Canis lupus familiaris: one gene and its partners. The main gene of each other region encodes a partner of the protein of the gene in region 3 in a complex. Links are inferred from orthologs where the notes say so. Each region holds a gene or a part of one and is shown on either strand. Other genes may lie near its edges. The genes, in order: ARID1B, DPF1, SMARCD3, DPF3, PHF10, ACTL6B and SMARCB1.

Region 1 (4,174 bases), on a different chromosome or scaffold from region 3:
GCACCTCAGAAATGCAACTGTACCCCAGGCCTTGCCCACGTTTCATCTGGGAGCTTCCCTCAATGGACTCGCCCAAGTCACTGGAAGACAGTAACATGGAGCTCTGGCTTGAGAAACCACACAGTCCCTACGGTGAAGATCACGGGCCGAGGGGTTCTACCTCCCAGAGGCTGGCGGAAAGGAAGTTCAGTCCACACTGGCCACACCAGATCGAAACCGGAATACAGATGGATGACACACAACGCTAGTGTAGCCAAATGAGCTGGGAATTCAGGTGGCTTCAGAGTGGCCATTTAGAAAGCAATCTAGTACTTTTCTTAGGAATCTTTTTAGTTTGGATGTGTTGATAAGAAATACACTATAATTACCTTCTTAGGGGGAGAATGGACTCTAAGAACACAAATGCTGGCTGAAAATTCGTTTTTAAAAATTGTGTAGTGTAGGAGACCCTGACGTGGCAAATGGTGGGGGAATAATCTTGTTTCCTTCATTGACGATAAATATATTTCGTATTCTCTAATGATTGCTCTGGTGTCAGAGAGGCCACGGACTCATGAGTGTCAGGGAAAAGTGTGTTATGGGTTCTGGGGCTGATGTTCCTCGCTCCCCTACCGGCCAGTCTGTGTGTCCTTCCGTCTGTATGAGCAGGGTATGGAGAGCGGCCTGGCCCCATGTGCTCTGCGTGAGGTCGCCTGGGCCATGCCCTGACCGGGAGGCTGGGCTCAGGACACCCTCCTCCTCCTGCTTCTTGATTCACAAGACTCCGGACCATGTGGACCACGGAAAACGCGTTATCAGAAGTGCATCTGCAATCCAAGCTCCTTTGTGCAGTTAAAACGATAATGTTGCCATAAAAACGGTAGTTTAAAGAAAGGGAAAAAGGAAAGAGCCGACTGTTGAGAGAACAGGCCCTCCACTTTCTGAAGGGTCTATACCTCAGCGGGATTTCTTGTACTGAAGCTGATGCTCACTGGGAGAGCTATTCTCCATACAGAAGTGCAGCCCATTCAGTGACATGAGTTTTTCCTGGCAAATAAAATATACCTTTACATCTTTGCAGACATCGCCACTTTGGTCCCTACACCCCACTGAGTTTTTATTTTGGAAAAATAGTTTCAGAGCTGTTCACAGGCAGCTTGTTTTACCCTGTGAACTGAATGTAATGTTGTGAGACTTTTAAAATTAGATTTCACAGTTTTAAGGTAAACCAGAACTGCAAAGGCTTCAAATCCTTAAGGGTGGGGCTGAGAGAGCATTTCTAATTGTGTTTCGAACTGACGGGTCTAAATATATACCCCAGGTATATTCCCTACAAGCGCATCTTGACCCTAAGAAGTATTTATGTGTGATCTCTTGATTAATGACCGTAGGTACTAGATTGCCATCCAGACAGCAGAGAAACAAGGAGAAAACAACTTCTTTCTTTGGATCACAGACACCTTCTTCTACGCGTGGAAGGTTTCCTTATTATAATGCCACTTCAGACACAGGCAGAGGAATATAGTAGGTCCAGGCATAATGCTCGAGCTGGGTGCCACTCACTTAGCAATGAGATTTGGGGACAGTTACTTAGATCTTGTGTGTTAGTTTTCTCATGGACTTTGGGACAGTATGTGCACCATAGAGGTGATGTAAAGATTAAATGGTAGAGCACTTAAGAAGGAGCCTGGTACATTGTAAGTACCTAAGAAATACTGGCATTTGATCCCAGAACAATCTGATAGGAAGTGGCAGGAATGGTCAGTCCCATTCTGTATGCAGGACAGTGTGGCTAAGTGCTGACCATCACAGGGCTTGGATGTGGCCAGGCAAGAAGACAGCTGGATTTAACTTGTGTGAGGTCACCACCCAGATCTATGGGTGATGAACGTCTCTTCCTATCTAAGAATACCGTATTCAGTAGAAGACAGTGATTCAGGAATCTGAAATGCTAACAGGTAGAAGAGAGGCTACCGGGGGAATTGAGAGAACGGCATGTCTCCTGTCTCCACGGTGGAGTGGAGAGACAGGAGAAAAGGGAGGTATCGTGGGTTTGGTTTTGCTCAGGAGACTGTGGGTGAACTGCATTATTTCCAGGTAGCATTCTTAAGGCTCTTGACCTCGGGTCTGAGCTAACCGGCTGCTGGGCCTCAGAAACAGGGTGGCAGGGACCTCCACCATGACAGGTCTGCTGGATTCCCTACAAGTGGGAAGTTGCTGGGCAGGAGAACATTAAAAACTGAGTCCGGATTTCATTCTTTGACAGAAGCAGAACTGGTGGAAACTGGCTGCTAAACTTTCAGGGCAGTGTTTTCTGGTAGCACCAAAGTATTCACAGGGGTAACTGGGGCGACTGGTTTTTGATGGTTAGATGGAATATTTTTTAAATATGTGGAGAAGGAAGAAAGGTATATAGCTCAGGCTTCCAGAGTCTCTTCTGATGAAGGAAGGTAAGGCAGGAGAATGGTGCCTTGGCCACAGTGGCCCAAACGGCCACATCCTAGGTTATATTCTCTGTTCCCTTAAGCGCTGCCAACGGGGGTTCCCTTACAAAACACCCCTTATCCTCAAAGATCCTGCGTTCTGTGTGCTTGCCCAGGAAGTGGCCTTTTCAGAAGTGGCTAGTGGCCTCCAGAGCCCCGCCGGGTGGGGGGTGCAGGTGCCACTGCCTTTCCCGGCGACAACTGTAGCGCTCCCACTTACCAGGAGAGGGCGGCTGGAGCTTGGGCTGCTTCTTGGTGTCCGCGGTGCTAAAGACTTCCGGCGGGGGCTCCTCCCCGCGCTCGATCTTGCACTCAAAGGCAAACAGGTACTGAATATACTGCTTTTTCAGGGAGCTCGCTGCACTGCTTGAAGTGCCAACATTTAGGTTGGTTGCCAGCTCACGCCACTTCTTGTTTTTATTAACCTAGCAAAAAAAATGGCAGGATCATTGGTTTGTAGCAAAGTGGCTTGTTTAAAGCCAGGAGACAAAAAAAGCACTTAATGTCTTGGTTTACTCTTTTTTTTTTTTTTTTTTTCATTTGCCTCTCTTAACTAATGCTCATTACTCCCACTCAGTAGTGCAGAGACAGCATTTACAGTTATAAAACCATTAAGGGACCTGCTGATAGCTACATAAAATGCTGCTCGTCGAGATTCTTCTGCCTGATGCACCTTCTAAAGCCTCACTCTTCCCAGGCCGCTGCTGCTCAGAGCCTGCGATCTTCCCCGAGCAAATGTACACTCTCGCTCACCCCCATCCCACCTCCAATCAAAAAAAAAAGGACATCTGAAAACAAATTTAAAAAGCAGTAACTTGACTGTTTTGCAGTTTAAGTGTTATAGCTTTGATATGAGAAACACTGTTTCCTTCCAACAGCCACAAGCTTCCAGAAAGCCGAGCCTGTAATTCCAGCCCGTGTCCCTCCTCTCACAGGAGGCTTTCCTATGGTGTTGGGCAAAGGGGACTCTAGGGCAGCCCACACCAGCCATCAGCCCTGGGTGGCTCTGAGGCCACCAGCCGGCCGATGTGGCGGGTCCCTGTGAGCCAGGGGAAGGGGCAGGGCACAGGTGACTACACAGTGTTCCCACTTAACACTCTGGCTGAAGAGAACACAGCCGCAAAGTGAGGAGAAAAAAAGGAGAGAAATCCTGAAATGCTGCAATAGGATTCTGGGCATTAACTTTTGATTCCCACTTGGGCCAGCGTTATCCAAGGTTGAACGCCTTAAGGAAACACACAGACCTGCAAATACTTGGGGAATAATCTGCTTTTAGATATGCTTTCTGCTAAGTAGCATGGTAAGAGTTAAGGGGACAGTTGTTTTTTTTTTTTTTTTTTTAAGATTTTATTTATTTATTCATGATAGACACAGAAAGAGAGAGAGAGAGAGAGACAGAGAGAGACACAGGCAGAGGGAGAAGCAGGCTCCATGCAGGAGCCTGACGCGGGACTCGATCCTGGAACTCTAGGATCACGCCCTGGGCCAAAGGCAGGTGCTAAACTGCTGAGCCACCCAGGGATCCCCAGGACAGTGGTTTTTTAATGAAATGTTCAATTTTTGGATTCAAACTTTCCCACAAAGCTCTTTATGTCCATTTACTTAGTACTAAATGGTGCACGATAAACAAATCTCAGAATGCTCACGAAATGCTCAATTCCACTTTTGGCACTTCATGCCAGGCTGCAACAAGCAGGCCTGCAAATTGCTTC
Region 2 (3,850 bases), on a different chromosome or scaffold from region 3:
CCTCCTGTCTCTCCCTGGTGTGTCTGCTATTTTTTCTTACTATTATTTCCTCTCCCACTGAATCTCCATCTCTTCTGTCGCCCCCCCCCCCCCCCCCCGTGGCTCGCTCATCTACCTCTCTCCAGATCTATTTCTTCCCTCTCCTGCTCTTGTTCCGATTCTCTATAAATGTGTGTCTCTCTGCTGATCTCTCGGTGTCCTGGTTCTCTCCTCATCCCGCCTCACCCAAATCTGCCTCCCTCCCAGCATCCCTGGGACGGGGGACCCCAGGTGAGGTCGGGGGATTACAGGAGGTGCTCCTGGCACCCTGCCCCCTCCCCTAGCCCCGGAGGGCGGCCCCTTCATCCTCCCATCCCTTCCCCCCAGGCCCCAGCCCCCGCCTCCCCCCTCGCTGCCGATCGCTGCAGCTGCAGCAGCCCGTTGCCAGGGCAACCACAGCTGGCTGGGCGGGAGCCCCCTCCACCCCATCCCCCTTCTCCTTTCCGGCGAGGCTGGGAGGAGCTGGGACAAAGCCAGGGAAAGGCGGGGTGGGGGGGGAGTTGGAGGGAGATGGAGGTCGGGCGGGCTCCAGCTGTTAACCTCGGTCAGCTCTCCCTCCACGAGGCCCCCGTCTCCCCTTCCTGGCGATGCCCCCCAATCCAGCCCGCATAACGAGGCGGTCGCGGGCAGAGGGGTCAGGCCCAGTTTAATACACAGAACAAGTTAATTCACAGCAGAGGCAGGCAATAAAGGAGACTCGTGTACAAGGGGGGGCATGCGTGGATCGGGGGAGACCCCCCAAGCCCACCACCTCCCCCACTTGCAGTCTCAATTTCCCTTTTTTTTAACCCGAACAACAAACACACACAACCACGAGAAACAACCACGCCCCCTCGCTACCCCCAAAATGGCCAGCGAGGGTGGCAGGGGGCAGCCCGGCCTGGCCGGTGGGGAACTGGAGCAGGGGAAGGAGGAAAAACCAGTCCGGTGCAGAGTCTGTGCTTCTCATTCCAGCAGGCGCTGGGCGGGGGCCCGCCTGGCCCCCCCAGCCGACGCCCACCAGCCTGGGGGGTGCCCCCCCCACACCGCCACGGCGGCCCGACCTCGGCCACGGCGGGCACGGAGCGGGCAGGGCGGGGCGCTCGGGGAGGGAGCGGGAGCGGAGTTCAAAACCATGGTTCACGTCATGCAGTATCCACGGTGGGCACCAGGGCGGGGCGAGGGTGGACACCACACCCACCTGCCCGGGCTCACGGGGGAATGGTGCCCACTTTGGGTGCGGAGGCGGGACAGCTGCAACTCCGGAAACCGGGGGGCGGGGCTGCTCGGCAGGAAGCCGCATAGACTGGTGCCCAGTGGATGCTCAGCAGTGCCCCCTCCACCCGGCCAGGCCTTAGAGGACTCTTTGTATATATTAATTTCTTTTTTTTTTTTAACTTTTTGACTTTTTCTTTAGAAAAACGCTGTGTCCGTGCCCCGGGCTGGCATCTGCCGCCCCTCATGCCCGCCCAGAGGCGGGGTATGGCTTTGAGGGGAGCAGAAGCCCCTGGTGCCCATTTGCCAAGGGATGGGGAAGGAGGGAGGAAGGGAGAGGAGCCCTGCTAGGCCCACCAACCCACAGGGCAAACATTCCACTTGCACAGAGGGAAGGGGGGGCCCAGCCCCCTCTCGGGCTCCCCCTCTCCCCCTCCCACGGTGGGGCACTGAGGGCGGGGAGGGTGTGGAGGAGCTCGGAGAGGCAGATGGGTCAGCACCACCCCAGAGGTCCAGGTGAGCCAGAGCCAGGCCTAGGTGAGGGTGATGTAGGCAGAGGCCTTTTCTTTCAGGTGCCGAAGACAGAGGTGACAACTCCAGCTCCCTGTGGGGGAGGACAGGGGGTTAGGCCCAGGTCCTGGAAGGGCTGGCCCAACTCCCTCCCAACCAGCAGACACACAGTGCCTGGTCTTCTCCAGCAGGAAGCCCGCCTTTCGACCTGCCCACGCCCGTGTGGTGCCCACCTCTTCTCTCACCTTCCGGGGGCTCCGCCATGGGAGGACTCAGGCAGTACATGTGGTAACCCCGATCGCAGTCGTCACAAAACAGCAGCTGGTCCTGGGGGGTGAGACCCGCCCAGCTGGCACCCTGGGGGCACGGGCACCAGAAACCGGGGTGGGGGGGCTGGGGCAGGGGTAGGTCAGAGGGGCTGGGGAAGGTTGGTCCCTCCCACGAGAAGGGGCTCCGAGAAGGTCTTTGCATCACGGGATCTTTGCAGAACCCGGCTTGGCCAAGCTGAACACCCCTGTGGTCTGTCCGTTTGCAGTGTGTCGTCTGGGTTTGACAGAGTCTGCGGAACACTTAAAATGACACCCAGGTGGTCTGATACCAGCTCTGGAAGCACTGGATGTGGGTTCGGGTCCCAGCTCTACTAATTTCCTAGACGGGTGACCTCGGGCAAGTCATTTCCCCTCCCTGAGCTGGGTTTCTTCTCTGTGAAGTGGGAACAGGGCACCTACCTCAGAGGGTGGTTGGGAGGAGGCAGGGACATGAGGAGCCCTAAGGGCCCGGCCCGTTAACGGACACTAACAATAATGACAGAACAGGTTACCGCTGCTCCCCGGGGAGGGGCTCCAGGGAGCGGCCTGAGGCGCCCCGGCGGGCCGAGGGGCGGGGCGGGCAGGTCACCTGGGGGCGTGTCCCGGGGCGGGGCGGGGCGGGGCGTGTCCCGGGGGCGTGTCCGGGCGGGGCGGGCGGCCACTCACGTCATTCTCCGAGGTACCACACAGGCTGCAGGACTTGCACTCGATGCACTGCCAGCGGTAGGTCCGCACGGCTGCCGTCATGTTCACCGTAAACTGTAAACATGAGGGGTGTCCTGGGGGCCGAGGGGCAGGGATGCGGTTAGGGGCCATCGTGCCCCCTCCCCCGCGGTGGCCGCTGAGCCCGGGGAGGAGACGGCCCGGCCCCCACGCCAGCCCGGCTCTGAGGCTGGGCCTGACCCCCCCCTCGCGGTGCCCGGGCCGCCGCGCTGCTGCCGCGGCCACCCGGCCCCTACCCAGCCACCATGGTAACCACATTCTGCTCCCCGGAACACCATGGCAACCGCATTCCATTACCCACAGTGCTGTGGCAACCACTTTCTACCACCCACAACACCCGGGCAGCCACATTCTGTTAACCACTGTGCTGAGGCAGCCGCATTCCATTACCCACAGCAGAATGGCCAACAGGTTCCGTTAACCACAGTAACGTGGCAACCACGTTCTCCCAGCCGCGATGCCATGGCAACTGCCTGGCACAGGGGGGCCCCACACCCTGGGTTCCCTGCAGCCCGAGCCCCATTACCCGGGATACCCTGGCCGCCAAACTGCTTGTGACAATACCGTGCGATGCCAACCCGCTGGCCGTCCCGCTACCCCAGCGCAGAGACCCCCCCGTTGGCCACTACCCCGGTGCCACAACAGCTACCCAGTCGCCATGACAACCACATCGCACTACCCGTAATACCATGACAACCACAATTCATTACCCACTGTGCTGAGACAACCACAGTCTATTACCTACAAGTCCACCCTGGGAAACCACATTCTATTAACCACAAGTCCACGGCAAGCGCCGTCGGTTATCCACAGGACCCCGACAGTGGCCATCCATGACTCATTATCACAGTCCACTCCCCACGATGCCGGGGCAACCATCCTTCACCACTCCTCGTGCCATGATAAGCACAGGCCACCACCACCAATGCCATGACAACCACATCCCAGAGCCTCTCTGACCCCTCTGGGTTTCCCACAGTCCTCAGCAGTGGAATCCGTTGCGCCACCCCTGGGTTCCCCCCACCAGGCCGCGCCTCTCCACCTCCCATCCTCCAGATCTAGATTCCTGGTGTGCC
Region 3 (4,174 bases):
CTGGCGGCCCGGGCCCGGCTGGCTGGTGAACTGGCAGGCCAGGAAGAGGAGGAAGCCCTGGAGGGGCTGGAGGTGATGGATGTTTTCCTCCGGTTCTCAGGGCTCCACCTCTTCCGGGCCGTGGAGCCAGGGCTGGTGCAGAAGTTCGCCCTGCGTGACTGTAGCCCACGGCTCAGCGAGGAGCTCTACCACCGCTGCCGCCTCAGCAACCTGGAGGGGCTGGGGGGCCGGGCCCAGCTGGCCATGGCGCTGTTTGAGCAGGAGCAGGCCAACAGCACGTAGCAGGCCCCGGGGCCCTGCCCCTCCATGGAGTTCCCCTGTCTGCCAGCCTTGGGAAGGGTGAGGCAAAATGGATGGACAGATGGAGAGCTTGTTGCTGTATTTTTTTAATAAGAAAATGTTATTAAAAGCGTCTTCTGCCAAACTGTTTTTAGGTCTAGGGAAAATGGAGTAAAGAGAAGAATCTGGGACAGAGGGGGGGGTTTCCCAGAGGGACCCACCGCCTTCCCCCTGTCCTTCCTCCCCAGTTGCCAATGACACACAAGGCCGCTCTCAGATGCATGACCTTTAATCATTCCCCTGCCTCACCCGGCACGTGTCAGAAGAGTGATGGCAGAGCTTTGGGGACAGGGCCTGGGCCCAGAGGCCCACAGCGGTGGTCATTCACAGGGGCTCCTAGGTGTTGCGCACAACCAGCGACTGCTCCAACTCCTGCCTGCGCTGCTGGATCTTTAGAGAAATAAGAGCAGTAGCAGGGTTACGCTGTTGTTGGTGAGTGACAGGACAGTCCCACCCAGCCACCCTGGAAGAGCCTCTGGGAGCAGGGAGGGCTCCTCCGCGGCGAGGGGGTTGGTGGAGTGGCAAGGGCCACAGACGTGGCTGAGAAGGGAGGCTTCTCCTGGAGTGAGGGAGGGAAGGCCTGAGGTACACGGGCCCCTCCACACCTTGCAGTAGAAATAGCGGCTGACAGCTTCCTGGGACCAGGGCTGGTGGTAAAACTCAGCCCGGCGCTCCTCCTCAGGGTTGCCTGCCACATCTGTCATCACCTGGGAGGGAGCAGTGGGGTCAGCCCTGTGCCCAGACCCCCTCCAGCCCCCATGTAACAACATTTACTGTCTTCCCGATATGCTTGTCTTCCATCCAGTGCTCCCTGAGTCCCCTTCACCTTGAGGTCCCGGCTCTGGGAGCGGAGCAGGTCTTGGATGTAGCCTTTGGGGTCTCTGGAGAAGCTTAGCATGAAGTCCCTCTGGATCTTGAGCTGGTTTATGGACTCAATCGTCTCATGGATCTACAGGTAGAAAGACAGACACTTTCACCTGGCCATGGTGATGTGGGAGAGGAGGGGAAGGAGGAGGGGGGCGAGTGGGGGTTGGGATCTGCTGCCATCTGTTCTTTGAAGGGCTATCCCTCAGGTCGCTGCTGCCTCTGTAGTCCCGAGGAAGGGGGGATGGGCAGCACTCCCAAGTATCGAGGGAAGGGCCACCTGCCCCCTTCATCTCTCCATAGGCCTACGCTCTTGTCTGTTGTCTGTATTTTGTCATTTCTGGGTTAATGTCCCACTCCAGTTCTGGGCTCTGGCCCCACCTTACTGTCCAGAGCGCTGATCTCCTGCTGGTTGGCTGTGGACAGGAGGAAGCTGCTCATCTGTCCCTTCAGTGGCTCCTCCACCTCCACGTCAATATCATAGCACGCCGTCTTCTTCTGGTCCGACGGGTCCACGCTGCCAGGGAAGTCCAGCCCTTGGTATCCACACTGCTTCCACAGAGGCCAAGGGTCCCAGGGGCAGAGGTGGGGGGCAGGGGTGGGGTGGGGTGGGGTGGGAGGGATAGAGTGGGCAGGACTGCCATGATTCTCTGGTCAGAGGAGCAAGCTGGGGCCTCACCTGATGACGTGGTTGATGACAATTGGGTCAGGGGGCAGCAGCAGAGCTGTGAGGCGCTGGGGAATCTCAGAAAACTTCAGCCGTGGGCAATCAAAAATCTGAGGTGGGAGAGAAAGAGACCAGTCAGCCCTAGATCCTTCCATTGTGGGCGGCCACAAGATGCCAAGAGCAAATCTAACTCCTTAGTGCTGCTGGGGCTGGGACCAGGGTGTCTGTGGGCAGTAGAGAGTGGACCAGGAGGTGTGGGGGTTGTGGTGCAGGGGACCAAAGCACCCGCTCTGGGTCGGTGGCCACCCAGGTGCAAATCCTGCCTCTCCCATTAACACTGCAACCTTGGGCCAGTCCACTAGGCTCTCAGGCCTGTTGTAGCATGTCCGGTGTGGGGATAGTAACTACCAGGGTGGCTGGGAGAACTAAGTGGATGAGTACACATCAAATGCCTGCAGTGGTGCCTGGCATATGGCGAGTGCTCAATAAACCTCGACTGTTATTTTACTCCTCAAGTTTATCTGCCATATTTATTTTTAAAGCATTATTAATAATCTCTACTTTGGTAGAGTCTTGGACCCAGGACTAGAACCCAGGGATCCTAACTTCCAAGTGCCAAGAATATTACATTCCCCAAACTGTTGACCTTTTAAGGTTCTGGATCTTTCTAAACTGGCTTGTCTAAAATGGATGGTGGGCTGCAGCACGGAGCTACGCTGCAGTAGGGCCTACACTAGGACCCTGCTTACCATTTGTGATACCCAGGAATCTAGAAGGGGGGTGGTGCTGCCTTAGTCGAGGCACTTACCCTATTGGTACCTCTGCTTGCCCCCCACATCCCCAAGATCAGGAGAGAGGGTACCTGCTGGAAGTATTTGTCCCCATTGATGTATTCCTTATCATGCGAATCCTGCAGCCTGTTGGTCTTCACATACTGCCACAGGGCCTGCACAATGGCTGAGCGGCTCTGTGTGTGCAATCCCAACAGCCGAGCCAGGCGAGGATCCAGTTTGAATTGGGGAGGCTGAGGAAAGATGGCCATGGACATAAAGAGGGAGTGGGAAGAGCTCAGGGCCAGGCAGTGTGGGACTGGGGGAATGTGGTGACTGGGCTCCTGGGAAACCTGCTTCTGGAAATGAGGTAGGGAAAAGAATGGGGTCTCTTGGTGCATTTCTGTGAAGCCTAGGCCTGGCCTAAGGGAAGGGGTGGGGAGCTGGGGGGGCTAGGGGCCTCAGGTGGAGTCAGGGGGCAGGGCACAGACCTGGTAGTCCAGCATGAGAAGCAGTGTGCAGCGTACACTCAGGTCCCCTGGCCTCTTCACCTGGAACCCATCCGTCTCCTGGGTTGTGGGTGTTCGGTGCCACTGCCCAGGGAAGGAGAGCTGGGTCACCTCACAGGCCCACATGGGCTGCCAAGGCCAGGGACTCTAGGGTGGTCCCTGATCCAGATCTGTGCGGCTGATGGAACTGTGGTCTGGAAGGGTGGCAGTTCCCGGGCAAAAGAGGTCTGGGTCTTACCTCGACTAGGTGGTTGTCGGGGCCATAAAGGTCTTTGTCCAGTTCAATGACCAAACTCTTGAAGAAGGAAGAGAACTTCCGCTTCTGCTTGCTGGGCTGTGGGAGAGGGACAGGGACCGTGGGGGCAGGACAGGGACCGTGGGGGCAGGATGAGTCGGGAGTGGGTGGGGCTGGTTGGGTAGGGCAGCATGATTAGAAGCAGGCCTCTACACCCATACTGTCTCTTCAGGCCGCCCACCCCTGGTTGGGCTGACTCCCTAACCCATAGTGCAAACATCTCCTTCTGTCCTCAGCTCAGCCCCATACCCACCCCAGGACACCTGGAGAGACCTGGGCCAGGACGTACGTCATCCAGGAGCTTCCCCTCCACCCGCAGCTCCCAGGAGGCAATGCTGCCATCGGAATCTTCAGCATCAGGCTTCGCAGGGTTAAAAGTATTGGAGATATAAAGACGCAGCTTCCGCTTTTGCTGTAGAAATAAAGAATATAGTACAAGAGCAAACACTGTGTGCTCCCATTCCCGGGGCAGTCCCACTTTTCCATTCCTGGAACAGGACCTAGAGACCTCTTCATGCCCCCAAATCAAGACACCTTCATTGGCCTCTTCAGAGCCTCCTGGATGTCCACCCGCTTCCGCATGATGGTTTGATCCAGTTTCCTCTCAAACGCCAGCAGGTCCATATAAGCCTGGGACTCGGGGACCAGCTCCCGGATCTGGAAGAGAAGGAGCAAGGCAGGGAACCTGGGGCTCAGCCAATCTTGTGGGTGGAATGTGCGCCTCATGCAG
Region 4 (4,806 bases), on a different chromosome or scaffold from region 3:
CCCCGCATATTAACCCACCACCACTTTATTCCCCAAAGCTAGAGGAAACCTTTGTGTGACTGGGTTTCTGTAGGGGGCGACCGTGTGGTTGGCTTTTTTTTTTTTTTTTTTAGGAAAGGGAGAGAGAGACTCGGAGGCACACAGAGAAAATGCTAATGTCGTTCAGCTCCGTTTCATTGTCAGGAGGGACACAAGAGGATAAAAACCTAGCTCTCCAAACCATTCTCGCGGCTCCCCTCCTCCCTACACCACCATCCATCCCTTTAGCTGGATGTGTCTCTGCGCTTTGTTCTAATTTATCCCATGCATAATTTATTTACGTGTGTATTGTTTCCTGATCAGCAACTTTTAAAAACAAATGAAATGTAGAAGATGTCTTGCTAAATAAGTTGTTTTCAAAAAATAAAGGCAGATGGTGTGGGTCTCCCAATAACAACGTGTGTGCTCCTGCATTAGGAGTTTAAAAGCCGTCCGGAGCGCAGGAGGTTCGGCTCGTCCGGGAGAGGGGGTGGGTATTGTTTACACCCCCTTTCCTCCAGGGAAAGGGTTTGGGATGCAAAAAGGAGGAGCTAATTAAAAAATGACCACTCAACTCCCGTCTAGAAAAGGCAGGCAGGGATGTTGTGTGTATGCTAGCGCGTGCGCGCGCGCGCGTGTGTATGTGTGTGTGTGTGTGTGTGTGTGTGTGTGTGTGTGTCGACACAGAATTACAAAACATGTCATTGCAACTGTCTCTAATTATTACAAAGTATAAGTTTAATAATTCAGGACTAATTCCACTAAACCAGCCCCCTTCTCTGTTCCCTCCTCCACCTCTAACCCCACCCCACTCAGACACCCTCGCCAAACACGCACCCTTCCGCAGTTCAAAAACAAACAAACAAACAAAAAACCGGAGCCGGCAGGGAAACAAACCCTGGAGCGTTTAGAGATATTGCGCCTGCCGGCGCGTGAGCGGGCTCCAAGGTAACGCTGGTACCGCTTTCCCAGTAGGAAACAAATCTGGCGCACATGTGAAATAGATTTCTCTAACTTGAGTTTACCAGGTGGCATCAGCCTGCCTATGTGATTTCGGCTGGAAATGGGGAAACTGCAAATCAGCTGGAGGTTCGGCTGAAACTCACAGCATCAGCGGTGTGGCTGCGCGAGCGACCGGGGAGCGAGGATGCGGCGAAGTTACGCCCATTTATTCTGCTGTAAAACATTTTCTTTCTTGGCTGAAACGTTGTGGCGTTCCAGTGCAGTGTATCCGAGCTTGCGAGCGAGAACTAAAGCCGGGGGCTGTTCTGTGATCGGCGTCAGCTTCCAGCTTCCTCTTAATCGCAGCTTTAATCGCAGCTTTAATACATGTATATTAAAAAAAAAAAAAAAAACTCCGAACCGGGGACCTTACTACCTTTTCCCCTATTAATGATGGGAGATAAGCTGGTGCAAACACGTCCGATTACCCTCGCGCGTTCCTTTGCGCTAGGAAACACCCCCACACCCCCCGCAGCCTCCCTCCCTCCCCCGGTGCGAACGTGGTTTTCAACTCCAGGAGGAGCCTGGGGTGCCAGCGCGGTGCGCTGAGTTGAAATAACCCGCACGGGCATCGGCCACACAGCCAGGAGAATTTTGCACGAAACGCCCCCCACCTGCATCTCCCCCTCCCCTCGCCCGCGGCTCCCACCCCGGCTGGGAAGTCCTGGTCCCAGAGGCGCGGACCCCGAGCCACGCCGCGCGGCGACCGGGAGTCCCGACCCACGTCGCGCGGCGATGGGGGAGCGAGCTCTCCTCTGCCAATATCATTGCCAATAGCACCCCTTGTAGGGCGACGCTAGTTTTCCGAAGCCTCCAGCGGCTCCGCGATCGCGATCGGACTTGGCGGCTTAACATTTCCATCGACTGGAAGGAAGGAAGGAAGGAAGCCAGGACGAAAAGGAGCAGGAAGGCAGGCAGGCAGGAATTGGCAGTCGGACCCGGGGACTGGTCCCCGCATGTCCTCGCCCAGCCCGCCCCCCTGCGTCCGGGATCTGGGCGTCCGCTCAAAGTCTCCCGGCGGCGGCCAGAGGCACCTGCCCCTCGCTCTGGCCGGGAGCAGAAGCTGCCTCTCCGCCCGCCTCGGTTTTTCACCCAGAGGAGGCAAGAACACCATTCATAAGACCTGCAGCCTCCCTGCCTCCCAATCAACCCCAAGTTAACCCGAGTCGTTAATACACTACACCCAGTTCGCCCGCGAACACACGCAGACACACCGGCGACCGCCCGGAGCGCGGTCACGCTCGGGGGGCTGCCCCGGCAGGAAAGCCCCCGGGCAATCACCTGGGCCCCAGGGCTCCCGGGACCCACTGCTCCCCCTGCGGTCCTCCCAACTCCGGAAGGTTTGCACAAACTCCCCGCGAGCGATCGGAAGGCGTAAAGCGCCCTGCAAACTCCGGAGCTGCCACGGTCCGCTCGCCCCGGCGGACCCAGCAGCCGGGCAGGGGCTGCGGACTCCGGAGGCGCGGGGCGCAGCCAAGTGCACCCAGGCGGCCCCTGCCCGGCGCTCGCCCCCAGCTCGGCCGCCCCCCGCGCCGCGCTCGCCATCCCGCGACGCCGGGCACTCGGGGGACCGTGCAGTCCCCGAGCTGCCCACGACCGCCCGCCTCCCCCCCCCCCCCCCCCCCGTAGAGCGCTCGAGCGCCTGGCTCCCCTGCCGAAAACCCCTCTCCGTGCGTCTTCCAATTAAGCAGAACACAAACGTAACAATTTTCTTCTTGTTAATTGCATCTCTTGACATTTCTGCGCGTTGGGGGTAAAAAAAAAAAGAAGATGAAGAAGTAAGAGCTGAAAGAAAAGAGAAGCCCCGCCGCGGCTGCAGGCGCCTGCAAGCGCAGTGCATTGGCAGCGCTTGGCACGCGGAAGGCGCCTTTTTTTTCATATTGAAACCAGGCGGAATATGTACATTTTTTAGTCTTACTTACGCTTTCAGGGGGTTGTGAATGACAGTCGCCATTTTGCTACAATGTAACAGAATATTGTCTGTCTCAGAGTTCTAAAGGTTCGCTCAGGGGAAGCGGCGAGCCAATCAGAGCACGGGATACCGGCCCGCTGGCCAATGGGCGCTGCTGGTCGCCAGATGGGCGGGGCCTGCACGGTGGTAGTTATTAGGGGAGCTGTCAAAGCCCAGAGGTCACTCCCTTTTGTAGAGCCCGAGAGCAAGCAGGTCTTAAAGGGGCAGTACCGCGAGAGCAGCTCCTTTTCGGATTTGGGAAAGTGGAGACGCACGGGGAAAGTATTCTAGTTTGGTTTGAGTCCCTACTTTCTAAATAATTGCAGAGAGTTTGCGCTCCTGGACAGAAATATTTAAGTATTGCCAACAAACCACTGAACCCCATTCATTAGCTTTTGGCTTTGCTGTTACGTTTTTAATCCCCCAAAGGGCAAATCCCCTCGTTCCCGTGCAAAAGTTGGAAGGCTGCCGTTTCGTCTAACAAATTACTACACGTGCCCAGCAGTTTGCTAATGCTCTAGGTCCAAGGCTTTTTAACATTCTCATTCCTGTAGTGTTTTCTTTATCTCGGCCACCTTCTCTCTCTCTCTCTCTCTCTCTCTCTCTCTCTCTCTCTCTCTCTCGGTTTCTTGGAACTGCTGCCGCCGTTCCCGGCGACTCCAGGACAGCAACTCCCCTCCCCCTGGAATGTCTCAATGTCAGGCTCGCTCCCTCCGGCAGCCAGGGCTTTCGTTACGTAATGCGCGGTGGTCGCTGTGCGCGGTTCCCCACTCCGACCTCTTCCAATCTACACACACACCAGAAACTTCTGAAATGGTCAGATTCCGGCCGGCCGGGGAGCCAAGTGGGACCTGGCGCTCTGACCTTTAGGCTTGGGGACAGAGGAGGTTTAAGGAAACTTTTTGGAAACGCTTTCTGCTACTAGGAAAGAGAGTAACTAGACAGAAGGTGTTGCCAGAGTCTCTTTCGGGGAGTAGCACACGCGATTCTGGCGTCACCTTTCACTACTTAGGTACACGGTGGAAAAATTTGCCACTGAATAATCCGGTAGGACCCGAGGCGTTCAGAGTCTGTGTCTGCTCCAAGTCAGCGTGAACTCCTCACTGGCGAACCCCCGACGAAATTGGGAGACTTCGGTGAAGCCAGGCTTCCACGGGGCAGCGGGGAATCTCCCGGTGGATGAAATCGCACTAAATCATGAATAGGGGCCTCGTTAGCATACAGAAATCTGGCTAACATCCCAAAGTTGTTTAATCAGGTCAAATAGCTAAAATAGCGGAGGAGGGGTGGAAAGGGGGAGAGAAGATGCCAAATTGCCACCAGTTCTTCAGAGCTCTGCACTCTCACTTCCTTTCTCAGGGCTCCTCTCAAGGCAATGAATTAAAATTAACAATAATAATAATAACAATAATGTTCCAGAACTTTCAGAGCGCAATTCCATACACTATTAGAGTTACAGAAAAACAGAATAAGACTGAATGGGTATGTTTGTTTATAAGACTTGAAATCTTTAGCTCCTTCTTTCTGCCTAGTTCATAGGCAAGTCCTATAGATTTCTTTGTAACCCCTTTGTCACTTGAAACACCTTATACATTTTTCTAAAATTAAAGTTTGAAAAATTCTTTTCTTACTAATTTGTCAAGGAAGGGAGTGGTTCAGAAGCTAGTTCTTGGCCTAGGATGGGGTTTGGGAACATTAAAAAGCAAGCAAAGTTCAGACCTAAGAACTCTGAGGAGTTTGAAGTATCAGCCAGAACTCCCACCAACCTCTTTGAGATATCAAAACCACAGCAGATTGGAAGACAACTGCAGACTTTTCATACATGCAGCTTGATA
Region 5 (2,915 bases), on a different chromosome or scaffold from region 3:
AGGCCCGCGACGTGGCTCACCGGCAGGCCCAGGCCCCGGAGGACGCGTCCCAGGAGGAGGAGTCCGTGCTCTGGACCATAGTGATTAGCGTCCTCAAGCTGGTCCTGGAGATTCTGTTCTGACGCCCTGGCGCGCCCTGGAGCCTCCTCCCTGAGTCTGCGAGCCCCGCTACGACCCAGCTACGTTCTCTGGTGGAAATTGTGGCTTCTGATCGGGGGATGGAAAATAAAGCCATACGCTTGTGTTACCTCATACACCCCAAAAGGAGGGAAAGCAGCAAGAACGATGTTAGTATTTTCTCAGAGGTCAAAATTCCTGTAAAAGGAATGCGCACAATAAAATGTTTAGACTCCGGTTGATAGCTTGTCAGGTGACTGAAACAGGGCAGTAGCCTAGGAATATAGAAGATAAATCAAAACAGAGCATCAGATGAAAGGGCTGGTAGCTAGAACTGTGTTCTCCCTAGAGTTTCTGAATGAAGTTACAATGTGTTTAGGACTTTGAAGCTGCTGCTGAAATCAAGCCTGAAACGTACATTTTTGCGCTTTTGCGTGGCTGCGGGGCTAAAGCGCTGGGCCTGCCCCCAGGTGGAGTGGGCGCCCCTGTCCAGACAGGAAACCCAGCTGCACCAACTCTCATCAGATCGTTTGTTATTTATCATCCTGGCCTACCTATTAGTTAAAATTCTTCCATCATTAAATAACTTTGTTATGCTGCCAGTGGTAGGCCAGAGACCATATAGATTAGGAAAATTTCATGCAACTACTATTCACTTTCTGGTCAATGAAGGAATAGTTGAGTATTTCGATTACGTAATATTTCCACTGAATTTCTGAATAGAGCCAAAGTACTAAAGATTTAAAAAAAACTTTGGGAAAATGAACTATGATTTCTCTATCTAAAATTGGTTTCGAAGGTAAAAGTAGCTTATAATAAATAAAGTAGCAGATTTTAAGCACATAGTTAATTTCAGAAATCTTTTATTGGCATAAAATTGAGAATGTAAATAAATTGGCACCAAATATTTCATTTATATCCATATTACAATATTGGGGTCAGAAAGCTATTTTATCTTATCCCTCTTTGCTGTTTTTCCCCCTTCTGCCCACTTTCCTGGGAGTTGGGGGGGCTCGCTGACAACAGTCACAAATCCAGCGACCTAGGAGAAAAATTGTTAGTTAATATACTATGAAATTTAATTCTTTAGGACTGAATTTTAAACCCATTTGGCTCTCCTTTAGCTATCGCTAGTAATTTCTCTGTGGATTTGTGTTGTGAAGGGCACTTAGTTCTAATAAGGAGTTCTAATAATTTTTAAGGAGAAAAATAAACTCCCTTAAAATAATCAGTGTAATCAATACCATGTGAAATTCAATGCAAGTGGAGGGGGCAGGAGGTAATTGTGTGTAATGATGGGGACCTTTGAAAACTACCATCCTTTCTATAACCCAAACACTACCACACTTTGAGTTCAATAATACAAATCCTGATATAAAACTTGTTACAGAGTTTGGCTCACTTTCAGCCGTTTCCCTGCTGCTCAGTGGCAAGTGCGAGTCTAAACTTCCTCCCAAGGCCGGTGTACCAGACTCAGCACTTTAAACTTAATCACTGATAAACTGCACCATGTACTCCATCTGAGTTACTACAGAACTTCAAGTTGCCTGCTTCTTAATGATTCCCAGGAAACTTAGTTCTAGGCATACATTTTATAAAGTATTATACAGTGTTAACTATGCAAATAAGTTCTAAATTTACACAATTATGTGTAATATTTTAGTCCAATTACTGTGATTTATTCGACTCTGTTCATTCCAAAGTTATCTGGAATTGTCATGCTGTCTCATTTTATAGAAATCTGGTTTAATATTTATAAAGGCATAGCAGTCATTTTGTTAAGTTTCTGAATAGATGACATAAAAATAAAATCAAGGCTTTGAAACAAACTGATGCTCTTTAGTTCTTCCAGTAGAAAGACATGAGTTCTCTATGTATTAAGCTGTACCTCTAACACTTACATCCCACTTGTGATTCAGTTGGGTTACCTAGGGATGAAAAGCAGGTGGACATTTTCTGGGTAACCACAGCTCTGGTCACTTCTTGTGAACAGAAGGATCTTTATGGTGTTTATGTGAGCCTTTAAGAAAAAAAGGCTGGGAGAGTCCCTTCACTCAGAGATAACGTTCCTCCTTTTTTTCAGTCTTTACCTGATGGAATAGCACCAAGGCCCACACAAAAAGTATGATAACCTCTGTCACACACATCACAGAACATCATTTCTTCTTCGTGGTGGGGCTGTCCACATATAATGCAAGTTTTACACTCCATACATTGCCATGGGTAGGTCTTAATCATAGAAACAAGCTCCATTGTCATATCCAGGCAAGAAGGATGGCCTAAACCAAAACCAGCATTAGTATTTCACGTAAGAATTTTGCACTTACTATGGCATAATCAAATGCTAATTTGCTTCGGGAGTTCTTGAGAATGGCTACAATGTTTAATCACCAAAGAAATGACAATACAAAGTAGAGAATACACGGGCTGCTTTTCTATGCCTCATAGGTCACCCTATATATTTGATGATTCTTTGACTCAGGTCTAGCTGACAACTAGAAATCCTGGTTTCTGAAGCAACAAATAGGGTGGTTAAAATGTTAAGAAGACATGTCAGTACTTACCACTGTTATCACACTGGGAGCAGTGTATAAGTGATTCAGCCTTCCCTTTCTTGTTGGACTCCTTACCCTTCAGACAAATTCCACATAGAGCATTTGGAATGACCTTTGGCTGGAAGGGTAGAAGAGGGCTATAAATTCATGCCAGAAGAACTTCCTATGGGTTCATAAGGAATTGTAACTGCCTTATCTTTACTTTTGGTATCTTGCTAATGAGGACCTTTTTGAAAGACCTAA
Region 6 (4,174 bases), on a different chromosome or scaffold from region 3:
AGTACCTTCAAGATTTCCTTTTTTTTAAACTTTTTTTTAATTTTTATTTATTTATGATAGTCACAGAGAGAGAGAGAGAGAGAGGCAGAGACACAGGCAGAGGGAGAAGCAGGCTCCATGCACCGGGAGCCCGATGTGGGACTCGATCCCGGGTCTCCAGGATCGCGCCCTGGGCCAAAGACAGGCGCCAAACTGCTGCGCCACCCAGGGATCCCAGTACCTTCAAGATTTCCAATCTGGGATGTTATATCTAGCTAAGCTATCAATCAAGGTCAGGCATGCAAGGTCCTAACATTTTTTACCTCTCATGACCTTTATAAGGCAGTTACTGGAGGATGTGCTCTATGAAAACAAGGGAGTACATCAAGAAAAGGAGTAATGAGATTCAAGAAACAGGACTTCTATTACGGGAGAGACGTGAGGGGATGCCCTAAGATGATGGTGAAGGGAGATGTCAGGATGATAGCTATGTCTTTTGTATAGAAGGCAACAAGTCCAAAGTGGAGCAATTAGTGGGTTTTTGGAGAGATTTCTTCAAAAAGACCAAATTGATAGAATATCTAATGGAGCTAATGTTTGAGAAAGGATATAGATAACATAAGCAGATAAATAATAGCAGATGAATAACTTAGGGTCATATCATTAAATAAATAGAAAGCTAAGCAAAATAAAAATCAGTGCAATTTTCAGTTCTATGTAAAGGAGCTGTGCAGGAAAGGAAAAGTGACCAGAGTATTGCCTGCCTGAGGCTTGATTACCATATATAAACACAAGAATGTAAATACTGAATAATAATTTTTTTAGAAATCTAAAATACAACTATACTTAAAGGTGAGGAATGAGGGAAGTGTGTGGTGTGGGCTGGAGGAGGAAAGAGAGCTCAATGTTTCTTTTTTTCTTTCTTTCTTTTTTTAGAGGAGAGTGTGTACAAGGAGAAGGAGGGGGAATGGGAGGGGGAGGGAGAGAATCTCAAGCAGATTCCCATGGAGCATGGAGCCCCATGCAGGGCTCAATCTCATGACCCTAAGATCACAGCCTGAGCCAAAATGAAGAGTCCCAACATTCAACTGACTGAGACACTCAGATACCCCTCAATATTTATTTTCTACAGTGGGAAATAAATCCCTAAAACTATAAAATCCACAAGCAGCATTTGAATGGGATATTTAGAGATATAGAATAATATGACAAAACTTCTCTAAATGAAAAGCAGTTGCCTCTGGAAAAGTGGAATGGAAGGAAGAGGATATGAATGGCCGTTTTTTCTTTAACATATTTTCTAAATCAAAGTGGTTATGTGCATATATAACATTGACAAAAATTTTAAGTTAAAAAGTCCAAAAGGACTTTGGTGGGGGGGGGGAGGGGGAGAAACAGCAGTGGATAAGGCTGAATGGGCAAAAGATATGAATGGATAAAACAGGAGGATGGAGAGGGATAAAGACTAAACCAGGGAGGAAAAAAAAAAGTGCTTGAAGATGGTGGAGTTGGAAGAAAAGTCTGAAAAGTTAAGTGGAGTGATCAATGGCAGATGCTTTCAGAAGGGAGAAGTGAAAAAAAAAAAAAAAAAAAAAGAAGGGAGAAGTGAATGGCAGAAAGGAGGTAGGGAGCACCTGGGGCTGGACTAGGGTTTGGGTGAGGCACTTACCGGGGCCTCAGACATGAGCACTGGATGCAGGTTGGGCTCGGACTTGACGTGTTTACTGTAGGTGTGATCCAGGATGGCGCGGAAGCATTCCCAGTCCTCAACTGGAGCCAGGAGGCCAGCGTGGAGAGATGAAGGTGGGCCGGCAGGGGTCCAGGGACAGAAAGCAAAGGAAGGAGGGATGCCAAGTCCAGGGGAGGGGAAGTGAGATCAGTTCTAGCAGAAATCCCCCCTTCCTGGGAATCTGTTGGGCCCCTGGGCTGGGAACCAGTCAGCTGTGGGAAGCTGTGAGGGAATTCCTGGGATGTGGGCAATTGCAAGATAGACTCTGTAAGTGTGGGGTGATATGTCCTGGGTTGTGGTGAGTGGGATCCTGGTCTGTGGTGGGAGACAGTGGGTGGGGGCTCCTTACTCATGCCATTCTTGAGGGGCGACATGACCTCTGCTCCATCCCGAGGCACATGCAGGGCGTTGGTGTCGATGTGGAAGATCTTCCCTTTCTTCTCTTTCTCCCCCTCCAGCTCCAGCCCGCCCCCCTCCTCCGCGGCCAGCAGCCCCACCGTGGTGGGGAAGTCAGCCTGGAGGGGGCATGGGCAGGAAGAGGGATCAACCTCTTGCCCCTATCCAGACCCATAGCAAGGCCCTCAGCCCGCCCCTGGGTTTACTCCCACATTCCCGCTCTGCAGAGCTTCTCTCTGTGTTGTGAGAACCCTGGGTCACTGGGAAGCCTGGAGGGGAGTCCGAGGCCCTAGGACTTGGGGATGGGGCTGGAAGGCTCACCTTGGGGCAGTCCTCCCCAGCGTACCCAGCGCGGACTGAGAAGGAGCCAATGTCAAAGACCAGCGCCCCCACCTCATCTGTGTGGGGAGACAGGTGTGTGAGGGGACCTCTCCCAAACTCTCTCCCCCTGGATAGCTCGGAGAGGAGGTCAAGGCAGAGCCAGTCTCGCCACCTTCAACGCTTGCCGGGGCAAGTAGGAGCTCGGCCTGAAGTCCGGGGTCCTGGGAGTGGGGATCAAGCCTCCCCAGAGTCCCTTCTTGCCCAGTGGCCTTATTCAGGCCACTCTCCTTGCCGGGAAAGAAGGGGCCAGGGGGCCGGGAGGAGGTGAGTTGGATGGTGGAGAGTGACCCCAGTGCGCGCAAACGACCGACCTGGGAGGACCAAGGTAGGAGTGGCGCAGGACCCAAACCCAGGGCTGGACCCGTTCGAGCGCCGGGGTGACAGGCCCTAGGGTGCCCAGAGCTTAGGTCGCGCGGGTTCGGGGTGCAGGGCTGCCGGTGAGGCCGCAGCAGGCTGGGTAGCCTGAAGCCCGAGGCTAGCTCACCTCCGCCGTAGACGCCCCCGCTCATAATGCCCTCTTAGCGCTGCTCACGGCCCGTGGGCGGCGACGGGATCAGCACCGAGGCGGCCGGACAGCTCCCGGGATCCCGGGCGGGGCGGGGCGCTCAGTAGCCAATCAGGAGGCCGGATCCCCCGCCCCCAATGACGCCGTGGATTGGCTGCAAGGCGAGACAATAACCGGACCCGGGGCTGCTGCTTTAAAGGGGCAGACACCGCAACTTTAAGATTGTGGGGAGGATAGCAAGGACTTCGAGATCGATTCTAACAGATAGCCAGGTAGAGAGCAGACGTACACAAGAGATGGAAACCTTGTCCATTTGGAGACCAGGACGCCTCAGGACGTCTCACGGGGCCCCTGCTCTCTTACTTTTTTTAAATGGGGTCGAGAAAAGGGCACCATAGTCCTGGAGAGTCGTCCATTCTCTGGCTCCTGATCAAGGTTCTGCCATACCCAAGTCTGAATGAAATCACCGGGCGAAGGAGGGAAAGGAAGAAGGGAAGGAGGAGAGAGGTACAGGAGGGGGCGTGTCTCCATCTTCTCCCTGTTTCTTTCTATCCTTGTCTTTCTAGTGCCCCCTTTTCCTCTCCCGTCCCCGGTGCCTGGGCCCTATACATATACACGTGTACCCGTGCTCAGCTAACCCATCTTCAGCTCCCTTTCCCCATCTATCTCTCCCCAGCTGTTTTCCTGGCCTGACACCACCTCCACAGCAATTTTAATAGCAAAGGTGAAGGAGCAGCTCCGACAGCTTGGCTTAGCTGAGCGACTCTTATGTGAGCATGTGTGTAGATGTGTGCCTATATGTATGCGTTTATGCGTGTCAGGATGTGTGCATGTGCATATGCATGTCTGTATATGCATGTGAATGTTTGTTTTGAGGGCACTCTTACCTATTTGCTGAGTGTGAGGGAAGCATTAAAACCATGGATAGCGGGTTTTGGCACACACACGAAAGAAAAGGAAAGAAAGAAAGAAAAAGAAGAGGAAAGGGAAAGGGAAAGGAAAAAAAGACCATGGATGGCACAGGAAGAGGATACCTTGTGACAACCAATGCCCCAGAAGTTTCTCTGCTCACCAGATGCCCGCTCTGAAAGAGACTAAGGTGGCTCATTGATCACCCACTGGCAAGAGTGGCATTTCACATGCCCAATGTTGTTTGGGAGTCCAGGCCTAGAACCTCAGACTGG
Region 7 (4,174 bases), on a different chromosome or scaffold from region 3:
GAGGACATGCACCCAGCTCTCAGGCCTTGTTCCCAGAGCCAGGCAGAGGCCCTTGGACTCATACCTGGCATATCAAGTGCCAGGAGATGACCAAAGGAAACAGCCTAATCCCTCTAGAAAGCTCAAGGCAACCACATATCAACAACTACACACGTTCCTCCTTGAGGAAATCCCCTCTGGGAGAAAAAAGTTGTAAACGATTATATTCTCTGCCATGGGAATGTCTAATAGCAGAAGGAGTTTTAGCAAAAGAAGGCACTACAACTCAACAGAAAATTGTGTGCCAATTATGAAGACCAAAGAAACCAGGAGGATACTTATAAGTGAAGAAAAATAAAATTATACTTGCACTATAATTACAACTCTGTTAAATATCTTTGCACGTGCCAAATGACTGGCAGGGAAACTATTATTAGGAACGCTGAGATTCTGGAGATTCTCAACTTCATTTAAAAATTATACTCACTGGGGCTTTTTTCATTGCTGTTCTTTGGTTTTGGTCTGAATATAAATAATCTGTTTTAAAAAGTCTGATTCAGGAAAACAATAAAGAAAAAATAAACACATATGCAATCCTCCTTCCTGAATGGGATAAGGACAAAACACTCTGAAAAATGTCTCCTGGGCAGCCCAGGTGGCCCAGCGGTTTAGTGCCACCTTCAGCCCAGTGTGTGATCCTAGAGACCCGGGATTGAGTCCCACATTGGGCTCCCTGCACGGAGCCTGCTTCTCCCTCTGCCTGTGTCTCTTCCCCTCTCTCTCTGTGTCTCTCACGAATAGACAAAATCTTTAGAAAAAAAATAAAAAAAGAAAATGTCTCCTACGCTTTCTCTTGCTCATGAAGAGTATGCTCTCTTGAGCATGAAGTCATGCTCAGGGTCTGGGAACCAGGAAGAGCAGGCATCTGACCCAGGACTTACAGAGTGAGAATGGGAAAAGGAAGAACAGACAAAGGGAGGGTAGACCTCACTGGGATGAGAGAGGTATGACACGTGCACACACGGCATCATGACAGATTAGAGGGTTGGACAGAGCTAATGCGAGGTGGGTAGAGGGCCATGCGTTGATCTGATCTGAGTAGCAGCAAAGTCATCGTGAGCTCATTGGATAGAGAGGCTGCATCCTGACTGGCCCCTGACCTGCCCAAGCTCGCTAGGAGAGGAAGGAATCTGAGGCTCACATGCCCAACCCACAGGAAATGGGGGCAGAAGCAGGATCTGAACCCAGAGTCCACACCCTAACAATCTATGCCACAAAGCTCTGAATGTCGTGTTCAGAGTCCAGGATCCCAACAGGCAGGAGGCAAGAAAAAGGACTGTTCACACTTCAGCTGGGCCTGGGCTGCGCAGACCCCAATCTCCCACATACCATTCATGTTCCATGTAAAGGCATCTCGCAGCTTCTGGCCATCGATCTCCATGTCCAGCCGGATGGGGACCAGCACCTCAGGCTGGGATGCATTTTCATGGATCACAGCTGGGTCGTGGTCATCAAAGCTGGAAGTGAAGTGGCAGCAAAGTCAGCAAGGGGTGCCATGGGTCTCCACGCTCAGGGCCTCCCTCCCTCTTTGCACTACTGTCACTGCTAACTCGGCCAGAGGGAGAAACCCACTTCTTATGGTGACTTGTTAACTAAGGGCTGAGCCAGCGGGGAGACCAGGCAAGCAGGGGTCCTGCAGCCACAGGAGCAGAGTTCCAGGCTTCAAGGACACTCAGGGAAGGAGAGGGAGCTACGGCCTTGGGCAGTGGGGTATGACCTAGACGTACCCCAGAGGAAGCGAGATTTAAGCCCCAAAGCAGGTAGAACTTTCACAGAAAACTGTAGGTAAGGAAGGGTATTTTCTTTTCTTTTTTTTCTTTTTTGGAAGAGTATTTTCAGAAGAGGAAATACTTAACCAAATCCAAGGGGCAGGAGTGGTGAGGAGCTGTTGGGGAGCAAGAGCCAGAGCACTGAGGGTGGGATGCAGGTTGGGAGGAGGGAAGGAGCACTGTCGGGGACACAGAGAAGCTACACGTGTCCAAGTACCCATGCTTCTCCATCTCAGGCTATGGAATCCAGCCTCTACCCCGAGGGAGCTCCAGGAGAACCCAGAGCAAGGCAGTTATGCAGTCATATCTGTATTTCAGGAAGACACAGAGGAAAGAGGCTGGGGTGGTGAGGGGGGCAGGGGTATGCAGGAGGGCACTGGGAACCTAAGGGTGTCTGCGGAATACGGAGGGCTGAGAATTGCTCGGCGGGGGTGGGGGTGGGGGTGGGGGGTGGGGTGGCAGAGATGACAAACATGAGGAAAACACACTGTATGCCAGACAGCAGTGCTCTGGGAAACATGACAGGGAAAGCGACAGGAGACAGAGACAGGAGTGGCCATTCTAAAGAGGGGTAGGCAGCTCTGAGAGGTGACATTCAAACACTGATGGGAAGGAAAGGGAGAAAGGGAAGGAAGAGGGAGAAGGGGTCAGCGGTGCAGGTGTTGGCAAGGAATGAGCTCTCGGCCGAGGGAACTACAGAAGCTTCTGGGTGGCTCTGAAGGCAGTGAGGAGGCTCATGTGCCTGACGCAGGGTGAGGGCGGTAAGAGAGGAAACCAGACGGGGGCGGCCACTATGAGGACTCCAGGCCTGGGCGAGGGAGCCCACATCTGAGGGGGAGCTGGCCAAAGGCGGTCCAATTCCGGACACTTGGAAGGCTAAGAAGGCAGGAGTGTGCAGGAGAAGAGTTCTGGGGTTTTGGCCTGAGGGCAGGAAGGAGGGAGGACTGTGTCCTAGACTCAAAAAGTTGGCAAGCAGTGTGTGACAGATACCTGAGGATAGTGTGTAGAGGTGAGGGCAGGCTGCAGAGATAAAAGTGGGGGTGAACTTGAAAATGCCCCCCAAAAGAAATTTAGTCCTAATCCCTGGAACCTGTGACCATTATATGGTGGTAGCGGTGGTGGGGGGGACTCTGCAAATATAATTAAGGATCTTAAGAGGAGAAGGTTATGCAAGTAGCCCTAAATCACATCATAAGCGTCCTTTTGGGAGAAGACCGGGCAATATTACACATAGAGGAAGCGGCCCTGTGACCCACTGAGGCACAAACTGGTGATGCAGCCACAAGCCAGGGAATGCTGGCAGCCACCAGAGGCCAGAAGAGGCAGGAAGAGCCTTCCCCCCCAGCCTCCAGAGGGAGCAGGGTCCGGCTGACACCTTGATTTTGCTGCACTGAACTCCTGTCCCCAGAACTGTGAGAACCTGGAGGCGTTGGGGAAACAGGCAAGAGCAGCGAGGCTGAAGCAGGCAGAGCAAGGCAGAGCAAGCTGGAGCAAGCCAGAGCAAAAGCCAGAGACTGGCTGTCCCCAAAGCCGACAGGGAACAGTCTCGAGAAGGCAGCATAGTGTTTGGGGGAACATAAAGTCAAGGCAGGGAAGAGGGTAAAATTAAGGCGGCATCAGCAGAGAGTGAGGCACGCTCACCACAGAGGGAAGGTTCTCTTCTTGTCCCGGCCCATGCGGTTCCTGTTGATGGTCGTGGAGCAGGGCACAGCATCCAGATGGTGGGAGCTATTGGGCAGGGTGGGCACCCACTGGCTGTTCCTCTTGGCTTTCTGTTCCCTGGGGAGATGCGAGAAATGTCCCTGCTCAGTCTTGGAGCCCAATACTGGCCATCAGATTCCAAGTCACGGTCTGTGGAAACCCACTGCACCCCTGGCAGGCTCCAGTGGTCCGTGGTGACCCCCCAGCACCCCAGATTCTGCACGTGTACTCCTCAGGCTCCCATGGCATCCATTCAGAGGCACCTGGCTTACAGGAAGGGTGCAGAGAGGCCGCAGTCACAGGAGTGCATGAGTCCCAGTATAACACGGAATGTGCTAGGCATGACTCCATGGAAGCCCTACCCTTTCTGTGAGGAATGCGAGTGAGGAGACTTCCCAGGGGAGCAAACCCTGGAGTGGAACCTTAAGTCCTGGGTTGGGGCTCACTGGGGGCGGGAGTAGGGGAAGAGCTGGAATGGGAAGGGCATTTCAGGAAGTGCACAGGTGGCAAGAGTGAGGAGGCAGGGCTGGGGCTGGAGAGGCAGGACATGGAGAGGGTTCCCACTGTGGCGGCTGGCATGTTCCTCAAGAACTGACTGCACTCGGCCGGTGGCTGGGGGATTTGAAGAAGGCAGAGAAAGATCAGATCACTCTTTTAGATACACA

Evidence for each region.
Region 1: SMARCD3 (region 3) and ARID1B share a complex: the UniProt entries of both Homo sapiens proteins name them as parts of the neuron-specific chromatin remodeling complex. The link is inferred for Canis lupus familiaris from reciprocal best matches to the Homo sapiens genes SMARCD3 and ARID1B.
Region 2: SMARCD3 (region 3) and DPF1 share a complex: the UniProt entries of both Homo sapiens proteins name them as parts of the neuron-specific chromatin remodeling complex. The link is inferred for Canis lupus familiaris from reciprocal best matches to the Homo sapiens genes SMARCD3 and DPF1.
Region 4: SMARCD3 (region 3) and DPF3 share a complex: the UniProt entries of both Homo sapiens proteins name them as parts of the BAF complex. The link is inferred for Canis lupus familiaris from reciprocal best matches to the Homo sapiens genes SMARCD3 and DPF3.
Region 5: SMARCD3 (region 3) and PHF10 share a complex: the UniProt entries of both Homo sapiens proteins name them as parts of the neural progenitors-specific chromatin remodeling complex. The link is inferred for Canis lupus familiaris from reciprocal best matches to the Homo sapiens genes SMARCD3 and PHF10.
Region 6: SMARCD3 (region 3) and ACTL6B share a complex: the UniProt entries of both Homo sapiens proteins name them as parts of the BAF complex. The link is inferred for Canis lupus familiaris from reciprocal best matches to the Homo sapiens genes SMARCD3 and ACTL6B.
Region 7: SMARCD3 (region 3) and SMARCB1 share a complex: the UniProt entries of both Homo sapiens proteins name them as parts of the BAF complex. The link is inferred for Canis lupus familiaris from reciprocal best matches to the Homo sapiens genes SMARCD3 and SMARCB1.

Annotation. Positions count from the first base shown.
Region 1 is NC_049222.1:47,261,371-47,265,544, reverse strand, and holds part of ARID1B (AT-rich interactive domain-containing protein 1B), read right to left. Parts: intron 2,888-4,174; coding exon 2,683-2,887; intron 1-2,682. UniProt on the Homo sapiens protein: Involved in transcriptional activation and repression of select genes by chromatin remodeling (alteration of DNA-nucleosome topology).
Region 2 is NC_049222.1:115,605,690-115,609,539, reverse strand, and holds the end of DPF1 (zinc finger protein neuro-d4), read right to left. Parts: intron 2,831-3,850; coding exon 2,718-2,830; intron 2,101-2,717; coding exon 1,977-2,100; intron 1,838-1,976; coding exon 1,767-1,837; 3' UTR 665-1,766; downstream 1-664. UniProt on the Homo sapiens protein: May have an important role in developing neurons by participating in regulation of cell survival, possibly as a neurospecific transcription factor. Belongs to the neuron-specific chromatin remodeling complex (nBAF complex).
Region 3 is NC_049237.1:16,005,635-16,009,808, forward strand, and holds the end of SMARCD3 (SWI/SNF-related matrix-associated actin-dependent regulator of chromatin subfamily D member 3), read right to left. Parts: intron 4,102-4,174; coding exon 3,979-4,101; intron 3,857-3,978; coding exon 3,734-3,856; intron 3,484-3,733; coding exon 3,388-3,483; intron 3,234-3,387; coding exon 3,132-3,233; intron 2,895-3,131; coding exon 2,733-2,894; intron 1,981-2,732; coding exon 1,883-1,980; intron 1,721-1,882; coding exon 1,585-1,720; intron 1,289-1,584; coding exon 1,166-1,288; intron 1,047-1,165; coding exon 945-1,046; intron 730-944; coding exon 676-729; 3' UTR 371-675; downstream 1-370. UniProt on the Homo sapiens protein: Involved in transcriptional activation and repression of select genes by chromatin remodeling (alteration of DNA-nucleosome topology).
Region 4 is NC_049229.1:46,575,109-46,579,914, forward strand, and holds the start of DPF3 (zinc finger protein DPF3), read right to left. Parts: upstream 3,008-4,806; 5' UTR 2,975-3,007; coding exon 2,943-2,974; intron 1-2,942. UniProt on the Homo sapiens protein: Belongs to the neuron-specific chromatin remodeling complex (nBAF complex).
Region 5 is NC_049233.1:72,418,553-72,421,467, forward strand, and holds the end of PHF10 (PHD finger protein 10), read right to left. Parts: intron 2,791-2,915; coding exon 2,682-2,790; intron 2,397-2,681; coding exon 2,208-2,396; intron 1,947-2,207; exon of another isoform or gene 1,160-1,946; coding exon 1,074-1,159; 3' UTR 964-1,073; downstream 1-963. Other genes in the region: C12H6orf120 (UPF0669 protein C6orf120 homolog), read left to right, coding at 1-122. UniProt on the Homo sapiens protein: Involved in transcription activity regulation by chromatin remodeling. Belongs to the neural progenitors-specific chromatin remodeling complex (npBAF complex) and is required for the proliferation of neural progenitors.
Region 6 is NC_049227.1:8,991,059-8,995,232, reverse strand, and holds part of ACTL6B (actin-like protein 6B), read right to left. Parts: intron 3,444-4,174; 5' UTR 2,995-3,443; coding exon 2,970-2,994; intron 2,503-2,969; coding exon 2,426-2,502; intron 2,224-2,425; coding exon 2,058-2,223; intron 1,750-2,057; coding exon 1,649-1,749; intron 1-1,648. UniProt on the Homo sapiens protein: Involved in transcriptional activation and repression of select genes by chromatin remodeling (alteration of DNA-nucleosome topology).
Region 7 is NC_049247.1:28,806,999-28,811,172, forward strand, and holds part of SMARCB1 (SWI/SNF-related matrix-associated actin-dependent regulator of chromatin subfamily B member 1), read right to left. Parts: intron 3,588-4,174; coding exon 3,450-3,587; intron 1,497-3,449; coding exon 1,369-1,496; intron 1-1,368.